Bombyx mori: one gene and its partner. The protein of the gene in region 1 purifies or fractionates together with the protein of each later gene. This does not show direct contact. Links are inferred from orthologs where the notes say so. Each region holds a gene or a part of one and is shown in the gene's direction. Other genes may lie near its edges.

Region 1 (11,461 bases):
ATCACCTCGTGTTATGTATTGTAGTTATCGGAGCTCATATATATTATAAGGGTGATTACTGTCACTAAAGACATGAGGTTCGTCTCATTTGTATTGTTTAACGATTATCCCATGTATTTATATTTTATATACATAAGTATGTATCAGTTTCAATAAAGGATATTCTAGTTTGGGGCCCAGGTGTCTTGTGCATCCCTCATTATTTATTTTTATATTTCACACCGAAATCCGTGACTTATTCGCGGCTAAAAACGTCGGATTTAACTTACTCTCTAGTACAAGTGTTCAGTATAAGGTTAGGGACAATAGTAGAGGTTAAGTATGAGAAACATAACATTACTGTATTTCGATTTTTTATGACTGAATAGTAAAAGTAAAAATTCGTCCCAACATTAGCAATAATTAATTTGCAACATTAGATGATGATAAAATTTGTAAATATAAATATTACGAACATTATCTTTTTTTATCATGATTCATTTCTTTATTTATTTATTTCCCGATAGATTTACTAACACAGCTTTTTATCGGAACCATGTGCTTGCAATGTACACACTACAAAGCTCATTCATTTGAACAAAATGTTGTGACCCTTCTTCTAACGTACTATGTTCGAATTTACAATACGACTCTTTTTGTGATGTGCTTTGGCGTAATTTTGCAATACGTTGCGGACGTGTGCATTGGCAAGATAGAATGCTAGAGTCATCAAAAAAGTTCTCGGAATTAGCTTGCCAGTTTATGACGGTGAACTAATCTTGAACAGGTGAGGCGTAAGCGCGTCTGATTTCGATAGCAATATAAAATTTGTGAGTCCGCGCGGATAGGTACCAGCGCCCTGCTTATTTCTGCCGTGAAGCAGTAATGCGTTTCGGTTTGAAGGGTGGGGCAGCCGTTGTAACTGTACTTGAGACCTTAGAACTTATATCTCAAGGTGGGTGGCGCATTTGCGTTGTAGATGTCTATGGGTTCCAGTAACCACTTAACACCAGGTGAGCTGTGAGCTCGTCCACACATCTAAGCAATAAAAAAAACTGTATGGTACCTTCTTATAAAAATTACCATTTAAACTATTCTTACCAGGTCCCCTTTGGAGATAAAGACCAGTGTGGTGAGTTTACGCTCCGACACGGAGATTGGGTGCAGTTTCAAGTTGCAACCGATCGTCGTGATCAGCTCAAGCGCGCCACTAATATTTCTCTCCTCGATGAATCTTTTTATGTATCTGGCGAACGGTGAGTCGTATACGTCGAAACCATTGTTCGTTTAAATTAAATTTAGCAAACAATGAGATATGCATTGAGCTAAGTCAAGGAGAAATTTTCGAATTTGGGAATCCTACAAAATACCTACAAAAACTATAGTAAATATTTGAATAATAAAACCTCATTTTCATTGATATGTATATTATCTGTAGTGCAGTGTAATATAATAATGTATACAACTCACGCCAGCCGGAGTAATAGCTAGGTATTCAATTATGAACTAATGTTCAAGAAAAAAATTGTAAATTGTTTTTTTTTTTACTGGCGTTTGTTTGTACTTGATAAGCGAATCAGCGAATTAAGCGGCAACCGAAGCTCAGACCCTGCAGTGTTAATCTTGCCGTATATAACGAGAAATGAGGTTCAAGTCTCATTTGCATTGAAATAGTGGCTATCTTTACACTTATAGTCGGAAATAATGATTTTTTTATGGCCGACATTAGCAAGACTGGTTCCCGAACGAGCCAAACATTTATCCCACCACCACCACCACTAATATCTTAAACTTAAATCTACTTTTATTTAAATAATACATTCTACAAGATACTTCCGTCTCATGTGAGAAGATGGAAGGTAACATTCACGTTACGATATTTACTGGCTCCGCAAAACGCTTAACATCAGCCGGGGCCATGAACTAGTTCATCGATCTAGTGTAAGAAAAGGAAATTAGTCAGCTAAATTGATGAATTTATCTGAAATACACTACAATAAAATGTGTTCAATACTTTTACGTAATATAGTTTAACCTTGACCCGTTTGATAATTGCATAAGTGATTGTAACAGGCGGGAGCAAGGCCTCGTGTGCTCTCTGCGGGAAGGGTTCGGATTCATCCGTTGCGTGGAAAGAGAACAGACTATGTTCTTTCATTTCGCCGAGGTTCTTCGCTTAGGACAAGATCTCACCGTTGGAGATGAGGTAAATATGTCTCCAAAGAGTACTATAGTAAAATTGGTCCGGATTGTGGAACTGTATTTTCAATATAGTACTTTTAAAAGAGAACATTAGCGCTTCTAAGATACTGCTTACAATGCTCATTTTACGTACGTTAAAATCATGTTGTGATCAAATAGAATAAATTGTAAATATACGTAACGCTTTTGTTATTGAATAGTGAATGCTGACACACACATTAAGTCTCAATTACTCAATTAGTCTTGTTATAAAAACACGTTAGTGTTTGTTTATTTTTTTAATTAAGTTGTTATATTGACATAATATTTATAAGTCTTGATGTGCGGAGTAGTTAACGGCCTACATTTAGTGTTCACCGGGAATTAGAGTAAATGACAACATGAATGCCGCTCGCTACTTATGTTAAATGTATATGATGTTAGACACGAAGTTAATTTTCTTTTTCTCTTTTTTTTCCTGCTTATGGTGAAGCTGAAATAACCTCTCAAGGCTATCAGCTGAGAGGCTATTTCAGTTTCACCCTAATGTAGGTGAGCTCTCGGGGCTCAAACCGGAAGTGTGACTAACACTGGTCTTAGCAAGAGCAGTGTTTCGCAGAATTTACCACCAGATCAGAAACGCGACCCGCTGAGAAGATCCGGCGAGAAACTCAGTGGGCTGTGTCTGGGTTAATTTGGGACGGTGACTGGAGTTAAAATCATAACCGTTATGTAAAACTATCTTCTCACCCTTCAAACCGGACCTTCTTGGCTAGTAATGGATAAAGTGGTGTAAGTTCATAATTACTTGTAGTGCAAGTAATTAAGCAAGGGTAAATTTTGTTGATTTTAATTTATTCAACGAGGAACAACCAGGTAATCGTAGATACAGTTACTGAATCATGAAAAAGTACTGACGGCGCGAGGAGATTTAGTCGAATTTTCGTATACTCTGTATGTCAACTGAACATACTTGTTAAGCTAGATACTCTGCTCTCACAGTTACAAACAAATTACCATGGAAATTAAACCTTGAATCCGGGTGCAAATTTAAAGTATTCCGCAGGTGGAGTTTACCGTTGACCATTTATCGACATTCTCGAACATGAACACGCGGCAATCAGCTATTCGCATCAAGCATCTCTCGCCGGGCACGGTTCAGTTCGAGACTCTGATCGAGCGCGGCGTCAGAGGTGTTGTGACCAAGGAAGCTCAAGTGTACAACAACACCGGCAGTCCGACCCGACAGCCTCCAGTAAGTTCTTAACGCCCTAACCGCGGGATAATTTTTGAGGAATTTTCAGGCAACGCGTATGAGGTATTTTTGAGGCAAGATTGGACTTCTTTATAGTGTGCTTGAGACATAATACGACTCACATAAGTTATTTATAAATCACCCGTAGTATAGGAGGTGATAGTCGCTCATGAGGCTTTTTAAGTAGCATAACGCAAAAAAGGTATTAAATGTGCCAAATTTGCATTCAAACTTCAATGGCGATAACAACGTTCGATGCTGATAGCGCCTTCTTAGTCCGTTATATCGTCACGTCGGATTGTTTATTAGAGAGCAGATGGGTCTATTGTAACAAGGGGCGTGGATTCTATTCCCGATCGAAGTTAACATCTTTTGCTGATGGTTGAGTTCTGGTCTGGCTTTATTTGTCAAGTGTGCATCAGTGCTAATAACCCGGGAGAAAAACATAGCTTGGGACTGCGGTATGTGGAATGTACGTACGTATATATTTTACCTATATTGCCATGTTAAGTTTTATTTATACAAAATTGTTTTTGTCATCATAGACGAAAGACGCAGTATTGGAAACTAGACAAATTGACTATGATTTGGTATGAAATATTTAAATGTTATTCTACTGTTCAATTTTTAGATTGATAAACGACGGTAGTAACTAATGCGGTCTATTAAAGTCCATTAAAATATACCAAGATGTAATTAATGAATTGCTTCTTTTATTATACGTAAATAATAAACAAAGCTTTTTCCTTCAGCCGGATACAAATGGACTAATCTCTTGTCAGATTAATCAGACTAAGAAATCTCTGCCTTTTATGGCCAAAAAATGCGAATCAAAAATGCTACCCCGTGTTGGAGACAAGGTCACCTTCGACTTATACCAGGTAATGTATATTTTAATTTTGCCAGTGCAGTGCGGCTATTGCTACATAACTGCTTTGCGAATGTAATAAATGAACAAGTTGTTCCTAAATGAAAATGAAGTGAAAAAAAAACACGCACGTGATAGAAGTGAGGGTTTTCAAATGAGAGGGTAGTTTACATCTGAATATAAATGATAGGATTTTCTTATTACAAAAATCTTGAGGATGTCCCATGTCCCAAGGTGGGAAGGTTTTTTATTTGTGATACTTATCCTTTGTAAATACCTAAATAACAGGTGGACCATAAACACTTTTCATCACTCCATTTCTAATTTTGAATTAAATTAGAATATTAAGTTTGTAACAGTTAGAAGTACTGAATTGCAGAAGGAATTCAAACAGGACTGTTTACTTTTTTTTCCTACCTATGCTGATAGCTTTGAGAGGCTATTTCAGCTTCGCCCTAACGTGTAGGTGAGCTCACCGGGCTCAAACCGGACTGTTGCTAACACTGGCCCTAGCAAGAGCAGTGCTTCGCAGAATCTACCACCGGATCGGAAACGCGATCCACTGAGAAGATCCGGCGAGAAACTCAGTGGGCTGTGTCTGTGGGTTAATTTGCTCGTCGAGCCCTTCGTCGCAAGCGACGGGTTCGACGAGGACGGTGACCGGTGCTTGTGGTACCTAAAGACTGTTTACGCGTTAGATGCTTTACTTCAGTCGACGAGCAGACAGCACCTAATAATAGGTAACCGAATATTATTAGGTCAGAGATGTGTGCGTTTCTAACGGTAAGCGGTAGTCTGGTATCGAAGTAAATTTCGTATTGAGATATAGGGGTCGAAGTTTCTAGAATGACTTGTCATAGAAACAGATCTGAAGTGCTCCGTAGTTTGTTATACTGTGATTGTACGGCAGTAGATTCTATCAGTGTATTTTCGAAGCACAAGTTTATAAATTACTAAATTACTAAAATTTTATTGAGGACTTTTTAAAAAGGATTGGTATCGTCGTTTACGAGCTGACAGTGTTGTAAAGTACGCGTGATGATTTTGAGAAACAAGAGTTTGATAGGTTCTCCCGTATTTTTGACTTTTGTTCGGTCTCTAGTAGCAGGAGGCCGTCAAATGCTGGAAGAATTTTATAAATGAGTGACTGGACTTCTCTTAGGACAAATGTGGTCGCACCTCTGGAGGTGTTATTAGGCTATTGGTCAGGTCTTAATAGCTTAATATACTTCTTAGTGTAAGGTCTTTCTGGGCCTTAAAGGATAAACAGGTATTAAAGAAAATCGCAACGTTACATTGAAAATGACAGCAATTCGAAAAATGTAAATTAGTATAAAATCGAAGTTGGTTATTATGTGGTCATTGCATTATTCTCTGTGATACATATGTTTTCATTTGACCCTAAATCCATTTGCATTATAAGCGAAAATAAACCTTGCCAAAGTGATTAAGTTTTTTCGAATTTATAAGTAATAATAAATCACAGTAAAATGTCTTTGGTTATACTATTTGTATCTGACTAGTTTTTATACCATTGAATAGATGACATTAATTTTTTTTTGTGGAAACGGTTTACCTCCATTTTTATATTGATTTTCTGTCGAAAATAAGCGGATCTGACGAAGAAGTTGCGATATATTTTGAAGTTAACTTACAGAAAAAGTGACGTTTTATAAACTTATCGAAGTGTCATTAAGACTAGCATAAAATTGGTTCAAGCCAAGTCCAGGAATTTTTACGTCAAACATGAAGCTTGCTCTGGTCGACCTGTATCGGGGCAAAGTCGATGCCATTCTTTGAAAAAGTGGAGCAAGGTCGGCTTGTTAGTGATAGGACGATATAACTGAGTGGCTAGAGGGGTTAGAGGCTCACTACAAAACAGTTTTGAAAAGGAGTTTGCCTATAGAGAAAAACGTCGGTATTATACACGAGCGAGAATAAACTTATGAATCGTTTTTTATTCTCTTTTTGAAAGTAATGAAACTGAACCGCTTAAAAAAAAATTCATTGATAGTGGTCAATAGAAGATTGTCTGAAACAGGACTACACGTAACGTGCTAAAAAGCTGTCAAAGAGCAGTTAAGCTCCAAACTAGCGAAACCCGGATTAATTCGCAGTAAGATGATGCTCGCGTATGCTTGGATTGTAAGGGCATCGTTAATTTGAGCTTTAACTGCCGGGCAAAATCGTCGATTCAGATTACTACTGTTAAAAGCTGAAAGGACTCGAACAAGTTAATTAAAAAATAAAAGTAGCCGGAATTGGTTAACACAAAGGGTGTCGTGAAAAAAACGTGAAACTACACACAACTTTGGCCACTCATTAAATATTGAGTAAGCTTGTTTGGGTAGTGTTAATGATTCTAACATATTGCCATAATTATTCACCCTCAGATTTTTATTTGTTTTGGTCTCTTCAGAATTCATTATAGTGCCAGATCTACATCAAGAGAGGACTCTCAAAAGTACTTGTTGCAGTTTTTTTTAAACAACATACCAGAAATGTTGAGGAATGTGCACGTTTACATTATAATTAAACGTAATGTAAAAAAATAAACACGTAAAAACACATTTAATTTGTGTTATATATAAATTACGAAAAAACTTTATCTCTTAACAACAAAATTGCTAACATTGGATATGTATTTGTTTTGTCGAAATATTTAATGCATAAAGTCACTTCACAGTTGTCACATTGAAAATTAAGTTTCTTTTGATCCAAATGATATAACGTTTTAGACTTCTTTCGTAGGGAAATCTCTAGAAAATTTGAGCGTATACTTGCGCTCTGGTGATAATGCTCAGGAATATTGAGCGTATGATGGAGATAGGTTTAATGCACGTGTTACTTTGTGGGCTATCATACTCTACAATTGCTAAATAGTTTATTCTATATCTTTTTCTTTGCCTTTTTTTTGAGAATCTTCTACGAAGTACCCGCGTTATATTTTTTATATTACTTGAGAAACTATTATTATTATTATTATTGCTTAGTTTTACATGTAACGGTTTCGTTGAAATTCCCATTAATCAATGCTTTGTTGTAGTGTAATGAATATATGGAAAACAAAATAAGCGGAAACATAATATTTATAAATAATTCCACAGGTTAAACGCACAAAGGAGCTTGTAGCGATGTCAGTACAAGTCCAACACAGTCTTACAAACGGCAACTCGAGTAATGGAAACGGCAGCCGTCCCATCATGCAAGGTTTCATAGCTGCTCTGAAAGATGGATTTGGTTTTATTGAAACATCAGATCACACCAAAGAAGTGTTTTTCCACTTCAGGTGCGTAATATTGATATTAAACCTTGATTTTTTTCTATTTGCTGATGATTACAAAAAATACGTCCAATCAATCTATTTTTTTAATAGATTATTTTCATGAAACTGGTGGTAGGGTGTCCTAGTTTCGGCTTGGAGCGAGTGGTAACTGTTTTACAATAAAATTGGGACTTAAACCTCATATCTCATCGTGGGTGGCAGTATTCATAAACTTCATGTCTCAAGGTAGTTCACAACGTTCACGTTATGATGGTTATCGGCCGCAATAACTACTTAATACCAGATGAGCTCAACACTTACACAGCGATCTTCTTAATGAAAAAAAAAGATGAAAAACGTATGAAAATTGGCTTAGAAAATGAAAGAAAATTCATTACTTGAAAATCAACGAATCATTTCACTTGCACTGCGAAATGTATATAAGTAGATATTTTTTTTTATATTTAAAAATAATTTGCTTTACTCATTTTGTTTGCATGTATTAAAATTATTTTGCTCAGTATCAACGTACCTCTTATTATAGTATGTAAAAAATGAACACGCTTATAATACGTTGCTTTTACCTTTTTCTTTCTATCCCTTTGTGAACGATATTTTCAATTTATTTTATTCAGCGCCGCTGAACGTAACTAATGCTATCTAAAGCGGGTTTATCGCCCCCTTTGTAAAGTGCGTTTATTTATAGTTCTAGTCTATAGCGCTTTTATTGCATAAGCAGCGAAGCGATTGTATTAATGGTGTATTTTTCGCAATCGTAAAGGATTGCAAGTAAGTACTGTATTAAATATGAAATGTGTTGTTATGCTTTGCAGATTATTTTATTTTTTTCAAATTAAACAAGATTCATATCAAAAGTAGCAAAAAAAGAAAGAATTATTAAAACTGTCCTTTCTTCTTCTTAAATAGATTGTAAACTTCAATTTTGTTTTTATAAAAAATTCATATAGTAATTCCCATTATGATGGATTGTTGATAACTTTTTGATTGGTACCAATAGGCATACAATGAGTTCACCAAAATCTCTTTGTTGATAGAAAAAATACACAAGCGAATATTTAACAAACAAAACGCATATATAATGCGAATATTATTTTATTTAAGCCTGGCGCTGAGATGTTGTAATATATTTAAGAAATTTGAGTATACGAAATTCACTAAACTTGTTAATCTTAAATTTCAGTAATTTGGAAGGTAGCCCGGAAAATTTGGAATTGGGCATCGAAGTCGAGTATAGTTTGGGTCGCCTGAACGGCTCTGGCGGGGGCTGTGCAAGCGCTGAATACGTCCGTGTTTTGGCTCGAGGTACTATACCTATTGCGAAGCCGCTAGAACCAACTCTAAATGGAACTGTGACGAGAACCTTACGGGCTCTGAACCCTGATCAAGCCCAATATTCCGGTAAGCAAATTTTAGTATTGAAGTCTGGAAAACCCACGAAAAATTATAGTTGTATTTACAACCCTAGTCGAGGGAAAAAGGCCTAGGGGTAGAGGTCCCGAATGATGGTCAGACTAAATAGCGGAGGAACTAAAAATACCTGTTAGCGACGCTCTCCACCAAGCTAGAGAACGGGATCGATGGAGACAGCTAGTTTACGGAATCAAACTGAGTCACGATCCTCAGCAACGAGGGACCGATTGAAGAGAGAGAGAGATATACGTTGACTGCAAAGTAAAAATGAGGAGTTATTGCTTTGGTTCACTGGATAAAAAAATTGAGATTCATTGATGAATTCAGCTTGTTAGCTTATCATGCACTCTTGATCTTATTGATCCTTGGTTCTGGACGTACCCGCTTTAGTTACACAATAATTGTGCTAGTAATAGTGTTGTCGCGTCACTTAGAGAGATTGCTTATTTAATCGATTGAATTGAAAAATAATTAAATTATTATATAAGTATTAACAGTTGTGCATTGTGCTGATAACAAAATTTAATCTTTTAATTCATTTAACTTTTGTCTCGTTAACAATTTTACTTAACTTTACAAATTAGAAATTGTCAAAATAGGTAAGAGAGCTATGATAGGAATGTCTTCTGCATCCCGCCCCCTGAGGGTTTATTTATAGTTTTTCCCGCTGGCCAGTTTGGCATTGTAGATGACATGCAATTGTTCTACCCGTGTTTTTCAACAGAGCAACCGGCTCACGAAAGAGTAAACTCCTCGACCCACGCTGTTCTGACTCAACGGGGTGTCCGGAGTATTTTTTTATGTTTGAGAGGTTACTGGTGGCTCGGAGGCCTTTCTAGTTTTACCAGGGCAGGTGGGCGAGCAAGGGCTCAGTCAGGAGGGGTGGGATTTGCTAACAGCTACCCGAGCGCTTCCAAAGGATACCTAACGATTTAAGAGTAGCTGTTTTGCGAATGAATCTACTACCGGATCGGAATTGCGATCCGCTGAGAAGATCTGGCGAGAAACTGATCGGGCTGATGCTTAGGTTAGGTTGCACGTCGAACTCTCGCCGAGTTCGACGAGTATGAAAGGTGCGAGTTGGCCGTGCCGTCAACCGAGCTATATTCCTCTTAGGCCGTCGACCGAAACTTTCGGTGGCCTTTGCGACGACAACTGTACGGCACCCCGTGGGTCCACAAGGGGTCCATAATTTTATTTTTCGATTATTTAGTTGTGCTCGTTATTAAAGCGTATCTTTTTAGTTTAGTTTTAAACTATAATTTTGTTTGAATTATGAGTTTAGTGCACTTTTTTTGTTCTTCAGGTTTGATTCAAGTGGAAGGTGGGACAAGCTATGAGTTTGGCATTATGGGATTATCATGCAAGCGTGAGATTCTGCAGGTTGGTGATCCAGTAACTTTTCAAGCTGACATAGAGGGACGGGCCAGTAACATAGTGCCAATTAGAAAGAAGCGACGTGCCATTGTTGACGCCATAAAAGGTACGTAATTATTTTGACTATTATATAAAAAATAAGAAAATCTGTAGATAAAATGAGGAGAAATTATACTTAACTATTTTCTGTTTTTAGCCTGTATAAATAATAATAATAATATAAATATAGAAATTTAAATGAAGTAAATAGCCTGTTGTTTAACGTAAATTTGTACTAAATAGTTGAAAGTATACTTTTTTTTTACTGTTTAGATTGGGTGGACGAACTCACAGCCCACCTGGTGTTAAGTAGTTACTGGAGCCCATAGACATCTACCGCCACCCACCTTGAGATATAAGTTCTAAAGTCTCAGTATAGTTACAACGGCTGCCCCACTCTTCAAACCCAATCGCATTACTGCTTCACGGCAGAAACAGGCGGGGCGGTGGTACCTACCCGTGCGGACTCTCAAGAGGTCCTACCACCATTAATTAGGCAAATTATAATTTCACTGCAATGTTGGATAAATAAATGTATCGTACGTTAATTCCAGGTGTTTTTGGCTTTTTGTCTGTCGACGGCGAAGATACTCGTCGTTTGTTCTTCCACATGTCTGAGGTTCGAGGTAATCCCTCCGAGTTGCAGTCGGGGGATACTGTTGAGTTCGTGATGCTTACTAATCCTCGTAATGGGAAGTCTTCTGCTTGCAATGTCGTTAAAATAGCGTGAGTATACTTTTGGAAATAAAAGCTATTCAAGGTATTAGTAAAATTAAATGCTTTGTCATTCAAACTTTGTTTTTGGAATTTAGTCTGACAAATATAGATTCTTTGATCTTCGGTGTAAATTTTACATAAGACACGTCATATGCATATAGTGGGAATTTTATTCTAACCTCAAATTTATTACGTACAATAAAAAACAAATTTCTTTACATAAAAGCACATTGAGTATTGTTATTTATGGTGTATTTATTATCATTAGTGTTCCAATCACCGAAATTCGATCAAGTGATTTTCGGACACTTCGCAATTTAGACTCAATTTATGTATTACGTGTTATCTT
Region 2 (12,025 bases), on another chromosome or scaffold:
CTATTATAATTCGATAATATAATCACAATATTCGTCAAAACTGCACTATAGATCAATAATATTAAAGACAAATAATATTAATCTATTTTCAATTCGACCACAGACTTTAAACATATACCTAACAAAAGTTTCCCAATTGACAGCAAACAAAGAGTATATTTTTATATATGTGTTGTATCAAATACATGGTTGTGTGTAATGTTTTCTTTATTGATTTAAAATATCTCTTAAGCATTATTTAAAAAAAAAAATAGCATTGTGCACTCCTTCTCTATATTCTCTATAAGTGTGAGAAATTTTATACTCCTCCGTCCGCGCAATTTTCGTAAAAAGGGGTACAAAGTTTTTGCTTCACGTATTAATATATAGATATTTTTTCTGTGCGTGTGTTTGTCACTGAACTCCTAAACGGCTGGACCGATTTGAATGATTTTTTTGTATGCGTTTGGATGGCACCCTGGATGGCTTAGATTCACAAATCAGCCCGGCAGAGGGTGCTGCAGTCGGTACCTGGGTTATTTGTCTTTCCTAGAAATCATTTATATGGCAAAACAACGTTTGCCGGGTCAGCTAGTAGTATTATGTAACTATTTATGATCATATGCCTCAATAACAAAGCTAAAATATAATTAAAAGAGGCCAATAACAGGATTTAGGTACTTGATCAAAGTGTAATAATGGATTCCTTTGTCAAACAACATTAAAATAAGATCATATATTGTTGGCGCCGTTGCGATGAGATGTTGGGTGCAAGGCTTATTCAAATAAAAGTGGACTTTATTTATAGCTGGTTTATTAAATTGGATCAAAATTAGTACAGTTTTACGGGACCGAAAATGATTGTGCGTTTTTTCGTTGATGCACGTCGTTTTATTTTGCAAGTCCACGCCTCTCCCGCTTCCGCCGCGGTGAGGAAAATAGGGTTGCTATGTTTCGAACATATTTGTATCAACACAAAACATTTTGTTATGTGATAATCCTATTTTTAGGCATTTGAAAAGGTCGCCTATGAAGTTAAGGCTCTTTAAAACAAACCCTAATTTAACACTTGGGTTGGAAACCACCGAGCACGCGAAAATTACTTTGCTATTGGATCCTCAATGTCAATTTATTCTCAGGTGAGTTATACTTGTGATTTTGTGTAGTTTTAAATTACAGTTATAATAAGTTTGTCCACTTGGCTATGTGTGTGACAGAGTATGATAAAGATACACGGTCTTTATTTGATGGACAAATTTAACCAATTTTAAATTAGAACAGAAGTCTTCTTTCTGTATTCCACACGAATATTTTTTAACTTATTTCCAGGGTGAGTTTTATAAACGTAACTGAATACTATATCGATATGTGTCTGGGTTTTTTAATAGAAATGTTTACTTCTTAATCTATGTTTCAATATTTGAAATTCTATTTTTAATTTGACAAAAATATTTTTTTGTTTTTCATTAATGCTAAATTTATTTTTTATTCATCATACAGTATATCGTCATCGTGGTACAATCGCCTCGCTCAGTTTACTCGAAATTACGGTCCAGTACTTATTCCGTATGTAGCCGCCATAGTGTTATTAGCTGCCAGAAGTATTATTATGAACTTTCAAGAATCTGGATCATGCTTGACCATTCATGGAGCTTTAATGAGCGAAGGCGTCAAACCCTATTATTGTCTCGTGTTTTCAAGATTAGCAACTAAGATTTTTTTGTAAGTAACTTTTCGGTTTGAAGAATTTTTGCAGATGAGCCGGTTCTGTTAGAAACCAAAATGTAACGGATCTTCATAATATGTATTTGATTGAAGGCTACGATAGTTGTTTTTTTATTATTGGCATTGTCGGCAGACGAGCATACGGCCCACCTGATGGTGAGTGGTTACCGTCGCCCATGGACTTCAGCAATGCCAGGGGCAGAGCCAAAGCCGCTGCCTACCGCTTATTACTCTCCACGAGCCTCTTTTGAAGAAGAACATGTCATAGCGCTCGGTAAACACCGTGGAGGGGAGCTCATTCCGTAGCCGTTATTGTTAAAAAAAATTATACATTCGACGTCATATCTTTCAGTAGGCGGTCACATTATGTTGTGATGTCTATAGGGCGGTGAATTTATGATTAATGGCCGAAAATAAAAGCTCAATACGTTCAGCTGTTTCAACTTGCTCATAATCATTTAACAAACTTTTGGGACAACTGGGAACTCATTGCATTCTTTTGCACACAAAACATAACGACGATCATAGCGTCGTGCATCATTCTATAGAATATAAAAATATAACATCAGCCACTCTTCATTTTAAGCCTGTTTTATTCTCTTTTTATTGTATTATTTCAGGGCGATTCCGCTGTTCTCATTTATGTTCGAAAGCGCAAGCTGGAGGGATCTCGAATTGCAGTATTTTATCAAATCCCTGTTAGTGTTGCCAGCTTATATGACAGCATTAGGGATTGTCAATATTGTAGCTGCTGCTATAATGGGTGCAATGGTGTTTTCATCACAGATAGCGCATAGATTACTGTTTAAGTAAGTACTTTGATTTATGATTATTTTCTAAAAATATACTATCGTCACCACAAAGCTAATATTACATCTTTGGAGTATTAAGAGTCTATATATATATATATATATATATAAATGAATTGCTGTTCGTTAGTCTCGCTAAAACTCGAGAACGGCTGGACCGATTTGGCTAATTTTGGTCTTGAATTATTTGTGGAAGTCCAGAGAAGGTTTAAAAGATTAGATAAATATAAAAATGCTCTGAATTAAATAAAAATAACAATTTTGTTTTTCTTTTGATGTGTCCCCCGTCGGACGGCTTCCTTTTGTTTGTTTTAAGATTATTATACAAAAGTTTAGGTTTTTTATTTATCGATTGAGGCACAACAAAGTCTTTTCTTTTTTTGTTTTTTTTTTATTGCCCTTGCAGGCAGACGAGCGTACGGCCCACCTGATGGTGAGTGGTTACCGTCGCCCATGGACTTCAGCAATGCCAGGGGCAGAGCCAAGCCGCTGCCTATCGCTTAATACTCTCCACAAATGTGCCGGGTCAGCTAGTATACAATAAGTCAGCCTGACATATTTTGTAAAAGTGAATCTATCATTTGAATAGTCTTTTTTTTGCTTCAGAATAGTATGGCGAGGCGGTGGTAGTTTAGCAGAGAAAATGGCCACCGGATTGCACAAGCTCCCCATGATCGTGAGTGCAGCGCTAGTTTGTGCGGTTCCTTTATCATGCGGAGCAGCTTCATTGGCTGCCGGTGCCGCATTTTATGCATTTATGGTTAGTGATGATCAATATAATGAATTTATCATTGTTTATGACTATTAAAATCTAGCAAACGTCACTAAATATCGCAAAAAAAAAAAATTGCCCTTGTAGGCAGACGAGCATACGGCCCACCTGATGGTGAGTGGTTATCGTCGCCCATGAACTTCAGCAATGCCAGGGGCAGAGCCAAGCCGCTGCCTACCGTAAATTAATTAATAATTCTGTATTAACTTTTACAGCTCTCGAAAATGTATGAAGAATATTTAGAAGATTACGTTTACAAAATAATGGCAAAGCTAGCTTCTAAAGTCTGTCGTATGTTCAACTCGACAAGAAACAAATATGAAAAATCTGAAACCAATTTGATTTCAAAAGCTTTATCGGATGCAAAGGAAAGTAATCTCAGATCTAAAGAAATTGACGAAATTGAAGGTAATGATAAGGATTCAACGAACAATGTAGGACAAGACGGTTCTTCAAACACAGACTGTGCTTTAGTTTCTGCGAATAAAGAAAGCGAACGAAAGCCCAAAGAAGGCAGTATTAAAGGTGAAAGCAAAGACTTGGACGAGGATTTTAATAGCATTAACTTCCACATGATGTTGTTTTTCATGTGGATCACAGTAACTCTAGTCAATGTTCCAGCATTATTAACATGGGCGCGAAACTTTAAGTAAGTTTAAATTGACGTCATGATCAGTATTATGGTATGTCACAATGTAAAAAAAAGTATAGAGAAAAAATATTTAAATTATTTGCGCCCCGTTTGCATCTTCGTTTACCGTAGTATTTTGTATAGGCGGAGACCCGTGTTCAGCAGTACGATCAAAGGCAGTCTATATTCTTTTCCAGGGTTCAGACCAATTCTTTCGGTAAAAAAGTGATATCGATTTTTTTTTAAATGATACTAATTTTTTTAGTACATCCAATTTTAATGAAACTTAGCCAAATTAATAACTACCTGTGATGACTATATGAAAATTAATTCAGTTGTTCAGATGTTGTGAACAAAACAAAATAATGAAACTCCTAAAATAGTGATTTTCTATTACTGTTATGTTGTTAATCCCATTTGTATTTTTTTTACCTCTATTCAATGTACAGACACCAGATTACATTTTTTTTATATGTATTGATGAAGGCAAGATCCCGAGTGTGCTCAGACCAAATGATGAAATTTAACTAACTAAATAAAATTATTACAACAGGTATTCCATGGTACTAAAACCAGATACGTCATATCACACTGGTCTAGTCATGTCAGTTTGTTCCAGTTGTATCTGGCAAATCAATGGTCCCAGAAGAAATTTGTAAGTGTGAGAACTATTTTACAGTCAAAAAAATTGCAAGAAATTAATTTCTAGTATTTTCCTTTTATTTGTTATGATCCCAAGGTCATTCTTTGCTTTTACATATACATATTTCAAGTTAATAGTGTAATTTTGAAACACACATGGTCTCATCTTAGTCCTTACACAGTGGTATAAGGTGTATTTCATCATGTAAGTTTATAGCTCGCATTAATTTATGTACTTAATAACTTTGCTTGTGTAATAAAAACTAAATGAATCACACAATACACACATAAAATTAAACATTTTGTTATATATTGTTATAGGAAGCATTATGAAGCGGTTTCATCTTTACTATTTACAATGGCTATATTTATATTAGCTTTGGGACCCCTATCACTCACAATAGTCAACTATGGAATCACTTTCACATTTGTCGTTATTACATTACAACAAGTATGTGATAAGGAAGATGTTCAAAGTTCTACCATTGAAGGTACAAATGAATCCAAGAATGATAATGATGAAAAACCAAAAGAAAACCAAAAAGAAGAAGCTGATAATATTCAAACGAATGATTGTGATCCATGCAATGAGAACAGAATATTTGATGCTTTTAAGAATCTTCAAGATAAATTTGATTTAACTACAATGGATAATTTGTAACAACTTGTGTACTTGTTTTGTTTTTGAAATATTTATATAAATAGTATTTGTAGGATTGTAATAATGATAAACATTGAGCAACAATGAATGCCATAATTTGTCACAAATAGGAAACAAGTAAAATTTTTGTTGAAATGTTTGGTTTGCATAAGGAATATATGTGATTTAAACAGAAAATGTTTTCTTTCATTAAGGTACCAATTTGGATATTCATACCTATCATTGTTCATAACATTGACATCAACACTGAAATACTAATAAGGAAATACAAACCGAACCTGTAAAAATGATAATTTTTGTAATTATTGGTGTTAAGGCATCTTGTTAGCCCACATAGGTAGTTCCTACAACCTTATTTCTGCTGTAAAGCAGTAATGTGTTTTAATTTGAAGGATCAGGCAGCCATTGCTCTATAGCACTAACATTTAGACCTCATGTTTCAAGTATGACATAATTTATGTTGTTCATGCCTATGGGCCTCATAACCACTTCACACTAGTTGGACTGTGAGCACATCTATCTAAGTAACTAATAATAGTTTCATTTTAAAACATTTGTCCTTAATAGTAAGAGTTTATTTTTGTAGTACGTGCATATATTTCTTAGCTAGTTTAAAAGTTCAAAAGATTAATTTGGTACATATTTTATAATAGTGCGTTTAAGTGTGTGTAAACTAAGATTGACAGTTATGTAAATAAAACAAAATTAAAACTTATTAACTATTGGATATATTTGAGAAGTAAAAGTTGTACAGACAAATTTTGAGATAATGAATTTCACTTCTTTCCTTTCTTGGCTGCTGGTTTGTCATCACCGTTCTTAGGAACCTGCCAGTTCAGAGGATTGCGTCGGTACATTGGCCATGGAGGAACAGTAAGAATGGCAGCAAGCAGAAATCCAGCACCAAGAATATACACTGACTGCGAGAATTGCTGAACTATATAACCCCATACAAAACCAACTATACTGAACAATGTAATTATTGCCCTGTATAATTTCTCTGCTTTTGCTTGTCCGACGTAATCTATGTGGGTTGGTATAGATGTAAAGAAATCCATCTTGCTAAATTAGATTAATATCACTTGCCACAACAACAAATTATTTTGAAGAAACTTATCAGAAGTAACCAATTAAACGGTCTGACATTAAACGTCAAGCAATAGACACGTCAATACTAAATTGACGTCGTCATAAAAGATATTACCAGTATTATAAAACTGATTTCTAAACGTTTCTTTTTATTAGCCAATATTTTTTTTGTTCTTCCTAAATTTTATTTTATCAAAAAACTTTTAGCCATATCTTAAAATTTAGATGGCTTGCAACAAAGCTATGTTGATAGTAGTTTTAAGATATTTTCTAGTAATACTGCTTTTTCCTTTCCGTCAGTCGATTGTCAACATTCAGTACGATCAGACTCATTAGGTTAATTTTAGTTTTACAAAAAGATAATTTAGTTTTATTTTTCCAAAGTACAACAATCAAAATTAATTTAACAAAATGACAACGCTTAAACAAGTTCCTCTTACATGCGGTGGCCACACGAGACCAGTCGTGCATTTGGATTTTAGTGACGTTACAAAAGACGGATATTATTTGATTTCTGCCTGCAAAGGTAAGTTTTTATTGTTTATTCGTTTGGGGTGCTTTTGCCTTAGTCGTGACATATATAGGAAACATAATTTTTTCTAATATTAGTGGGGTGTGTTTCACGTTGACAAATGTCGGGCGTCGTGCTACGTTTATGAGACCTTCACTTTAGTTGTTTTGTTCTGAACAGTAGGTTTGGCCGGCGTGCATTCTATGCATGTTGCGACCTTCTCTTTCCGGACATGCAGGAAGCACCTTGAATATCCACTTGTGTGTTTCCTCGGCGCCAGTTTGCCTTGGGCCGCGTCGTGCTTTTTATTCATGTACTAGAGGCTAGTGCATGACATACAAGTTTTTCAACTTTGAATGCATACAAATTTGGAGCGAGCTCGGAAGTTTATTCCTGTATTAAATTAAATGTTGACATTTCACTTATTCTGGGTCACCTTGTACCAGCTCAAGGTTTGTTGTACTTGACATTATTAATAATGATATGGGAGTTCTGACAACATAATACTCTAACACAATGACTTATCTGTAAATTTTATTATAATGAAAATCAGAAATAAATGATAATTATTATAATTTTCACTTCCTTGTATTGCTAATGTGAAATTAATTATATTCAAGTCTTGGCTTACATGTTTTGTTTGTATGATATCCTTGGTTTTAGCTGTTACCTGTTTTGGTTCTGATTTAATAGTTCCATTAATCTCTGATGAATTAATCTTTTTTTTATATGTAAATAAGTATAAAAATCAGGAAATAGCATACTTGAATGTTGTTATTATGTAGTGTAGTATTGTTTATTTATTTCCTTGTATAATTAATAGTTGTTATCATGTTTTGTGTTCTTTTATACAAAATCAGAATTTTAAAATAATATCAACAGAAACTTATTATGAGTTATAATCTGGACACTGAAAATAATTTAGTAGTTGTAAAAAAGCAATAACCAGATATTTTTAAACATAACAAAACTAAAATGTAATAGCAACTAGTTAATTTACAAAGAGCTTTAAACAATGTATGAGCTATGATTGTCTTTTACTATCATTATATACTATCTCATGTATCAACATAGTTTATGTATGAATGCTTAATTTGTCTAATTATTTACATAAATGAGCTATCTTCACTGTTAACAAGGTTGTTTATTCCTCATATTTTATTAATATGATTTCTGGTTTTGCTTTTATTCAGATTATAATGTAATGGCATGTTTTGTTATTAAGATGGCAAGCCTATGTTACGACAAGGTGAAACTGGTGACTGGATTGGAACATTTGAAGGTCACAAGGGTGCTGTTTGGGGTGTGGCACTTACACAAAATGCAAACTTGGCTGCTAGTGGGGCAGCCGATTTTACAGGTAAATATTAAACAAGTAAGTTAAACTGCTTTTATTGAAATGTAAATCTGAAACTGTACACTTCAAATAAGCTACTAATTAGATTAAGGATATCACACTGTGAGTGATTATTTTGTACTTTAATCTCATAGGTTTGAATTTTTTGTTTTATTAATATGATCTAAAGTTATAATATTTTTGTCATTTACACAAAATACCATGGTCTACTTTAGCCACTGACTTACTAAAATAGTAATGAAAGAAGCCAAAAATATTAAATGTTTAAGCTCTGAGTATTTTCTTAGATATGTACTTAAAGTGCTTTGTGAAGCTAAAATGCTGAACAAAATACATATTTTTTGAAATAAATATAATAATATAAAAAAGTTTTTTCATATTAAATTTCCATTCCACTCTGTGATATGTGACCGATTTCACGATTTGAAATAACTAAAAATATGCCTAACCTATTTCGAGTGTGTAGATTTTGAGTTAATGATAATTTTTGGTCACAAAACCCAAAATAGTAAATTTAGTAAAAAGTGATTAAAATAACTATTACAAATTACTTAAAATCAAATTTTATATTTACAGCAAAATTGTGGGATGCTCGATATGGTGATATGGTCCACACTTTTGAACATGAACACATTGTGAAAAGTGTCAATTTCAATGCCGATGACACATTGTTGGTGACTGCTAGCAATGAGAAACTTATACGAGTTTTTGACCTCAACAAGCTTGAAGCTGGACGTATGTAATTGTTGCTTAATTTGGTTTATGTTACTGTTTAGACTAGTTTTTGAATGAATTAAGACCACTATAGTAACTATGAACTAAAATTTCTTTATATAATCTTATTATTGCTTTATTGTTACGTAGTTACTGGAGACCATAGATATGACAAACTGAATACAGCAAAAAAGGCTGGTATATATTATCAAAGCCTACAATATGTGGTCTGAATTTTAATATTAATCTCATAGAAAAATTATGTTGATTTCTTTTGTTAACTGATGACAGTCAAAATATTTTTGACAATTGTGGATCACTCCTTTTATTAGCAATAGTGGTCCGATCAAAATCCTGCTTACTTGCCTAGCATAAATGTTCTTGGTGGGCGGGTGGTTAATTAATTTTACTACAAATAATAATGTTTATATTTCACAGCAATCGAAAAAATAAACGGACATACAAGTAGCATAAGACACGCAGTGTTCCTGAATAACTCTCGAATCGTGAGTGTCAGTGATGACAATACTATGCGCGTTTGGGATCGTAACAGTGGAGAAGTGAGTAATCGAAATGTATACTATGAATCGTCCTATCACAGACTACAGTACATACTTGTATAGGATCATAATATTTTTTGACAGTTTTATCAAGATAATTTTATATTGCCAGTGTTGCTATAAATTTCTTATTTTGCTATAAACTATAAAAACAACTATATTTTTTAGTAAGTAAAATATGTGACATAAGACAATAAGTGAGAGCCTTTATAAATATTTTAGGAAGACATTGAAATCCTCATTCAGTGCTAAAACATCATACTACCAATCTATGTATTTATATTTTTAAATATAAATTCTAAAATTGTAACGAAATAATAATAATTGTTATATTTATTGTACTTCTTCAAGTCAACTTCGAAAATAGTCCTATGGTCAGAGGGGTTTTAAGCTGGCTTTGTATTTGTTGGTAACAAACGCCATAAAACTTAATATGGTTAATACATATTTGAATTAATAAATAAAGAGAAGAATTTCATACTTACAATGCTACTGAAAAATAGAGTATATTGGAAAAGATTGAAGTATTTTGTAATTTGAAAATGTGGTATCTCCAATTTTAAACTTACGAAAGCTTTATATTATATATATCAGTACACGAAGTACGTCATGTGGCTGTTCATGAAACAAGAATTATTACAAAAGAATACGCCAATAGTGAAAGCATCATTTATATAGCGAAAAGTTGTCTTCATACAAATCAAATTTAAAATAACTTTTAAGAGAAGCTTAAACATAAATAATATAATAAAATAATAATATAATATAAATAAAATAATGTCATTTTCTGTGATGATAATTTAAAATGTCATATTCTCAACATTTTCAGGAAGTCCAAAAGGTTGAATTCCAGTCGGTCCCTAATAGTCTAGAGTTGTCCAGGGATGGAGCCATATTGACTGTTGCACACGGTACTTTTTGTTTTGTTAGTAAAATAACATTGTTGTATAAGTTTTAAAAAAAATACAAAATTGGGTTCTGTACAACTGCAATATGCAGTTTAAGAAATTTGTAACGAATATCTTATGACTTGAGATAAAACCTTTTTCACTTTTGTGAAAGTAAATGACACACAGAGAATATGCTGTAAGCAGTAAGATGGTGTCCATTGAAAAAAAATCTTAACGCTCACAACTGTGACGTCACAAAAGTGCTTGCGTGTTAGCGGTATGGAAAACTTCAAGAACTATTAGATAACAGCTGAAACGCTGCCTACCATCAGAATGCGATGCGATAATTGATTCGATAAATCAAAAGGCTCTACTCGGTTTTAGTGTGGCATCTGCAAAATATATGGCGAATTAATATTGTTACGCGCTGGGGTTCGGGATAAATAAAAATTCTACCGAAGTACAAATAGTAACTGTATTAAGACTTAGAACACTAACGAACACTTTAAAATTCTTAATTTACTGCTCCCGCATCGCTTTAGCTCATCCGTTCACTGTTTCGCTTCGCATCTCTGCAACGCTTTTATACTCAATATGACATCCCTAGAATTATCGAGAACATTCTTGACAAGTCGAGTAGTTTCGACGTATGTTTCCGTCATTTGATAATAGATGGCGTTGTACTTTACGAGCGTTCTAGGTTTTATTGGTTCTTTTGATATTCGTTTCTACTAATCGACGATAGATGGCGTTGCTCGTAAAGGCGTAACAATATTTAGTTTTTTTTTTCCAGGTACAAACGTATCGTTTTATACGTCGGACACGATGCGCAAGCTACGCGAGTTCCCCGTGCCAACGAAGTGCTATTCGGCGTCGCTGGCTCCGAGCCGGGCGACCTTCGTGTGCGGCGGAGACGATCTAAAAGTCTACAAATATGACTACAATACTGGAACTGAACTGGGTTAGTTGGTTGAATTTTTATTTTTGAAATGAAAGTTTATTTTTTTACATGTAAATCGCATTGATCGAACAAACGTGATACAAAATAAATAATATATTTAAAAAAAAAATATATATGACACGACTCAAGCGCCATAGCCGATATTTTGTAGAAGGGGAAAGTATTGCCAGACCATCTATCAATTTGGCCCCAGACTAAAGTTTCAATGGCGCGTTCAGTTTTATTTACGGCGACAATGACGTATAAAAATAATGTCGCCTAAGATGTCATCAAAGAATCAGTTATCTATTACTAAAAGTATTTTAGCAAAAATAGTATTTACAAAATACTAAAATATCAAACAAAACTTATTTAAAATGAAAGTTACAAAATGAATTAAAAAAAGTTTTATAGTTACAAGATGAAAATACGTATTATATTACATTTTGTATTTCAGATACTTGTACTTCTCGATAGCGTAAAAGTTAACCCAATTTCGTATGTAGTTGGAACAGCGCCCCTAGCGGTAAACGTACGCAAACGATCCCATTCCATACAAATATGAGCTAACTTTTACGCTATCGAGAACTTTAAAAAACTCTCACTAAGCACACTCAAGCTAATAAAAGCGTATTAAAAAGCTAAACGTTTGTAACAGAGTCGAACAGGGGTCACTTCGGTCCGGTGCACTGCGTGCGATGGTCCCCGGACGGAGAGCTGTACGCGTCCGGCTCGGAGGACGGCA

Evidence for each region.
Region 2: the proteins of cold shock domain-containing protein E1 (region 1) and serine-threonine kinase receptor-associated protein purify together in Homo sapiens (affinity purification with mass spectrometry; 3 studies listed by BioGRID and IntAct, counting the BioPlex papers as one, with this or other methods). This does not show direct contact. The link is inferred for Bombyx mori from reciprocal best matches to the Homo sapiens genes CSDE1 and STRAP.

The regions. Positions count from the first base shown.
Region 1 is NC_085107.1:6,381,461-6,392,921, forward strand, and holds part of cold shock domain-containing protein E1, read left to right. Parts: intron 1-1,083; coding exon 1,084-1,235; intron 1,236-2,052; coding exon 2,053-2,185; intron 2,186-3,226; coding exon 3,227-3,415; intron 3,416-4,167; coding exon 4,168-4,296; intron 4,297-7,390; coding exon 7,391-7,572; intron 7,573-8,749; coding exon 8,750-8,967; intron 8,968-10,285; coding exon 10,286-10,462; intron 10,463-10,949; coding exon 10,950-11,121; intron 11,122-11,461. UniProt on the Homo sapiens protein: RNA-binding protein involved in translationally coupled mRNA turnover.
Region 2 is NC_085123.1:9,315,075-9,327,099, forward strand, and holds the start of serine-threonine kinase receptor-associated protein, read left to right. Parts: upstream 1-6,494; 5' UTR 6,495-6,719; coding exon 6,720-6,834; intron 6,835-7,004; exon of another isoform or gene 7,005-7,271; intron 7,272-8,012; exon of another isoform or gene 8,013-8,044; coding exon 8,045-8,179; intron 8,180-8,752; coding exon 8,753-8,911; intron 8,912-9,328; coding exon 9,329-9,450; intron 9,451-10,279; coding exon 10,280-10,361; intron 10,362-11,133; coding exon 11,134-11,301; intron 11,302-11,938; coding exon 11,939-12,025. Other genes in the region: GPI inositol-deacylase, read left to right, coding at 990-1,118, 1,480-1,701, 2,325-2,513, 3,120-3,273, 3,501-3,934, 4,470-4,571, 4,880-5,219; signal peptidase complex subunit 1, read right to left, coding at 5,996-6,277. UniProt on the Homo sapiens protein: The SMN complex catalyzes the assembly of small nuclear ribonucleoproteins (snRNPs), the building blocks of the spliceosome, and thereby plays an important role in the splicing of cellular pre-mRNAs.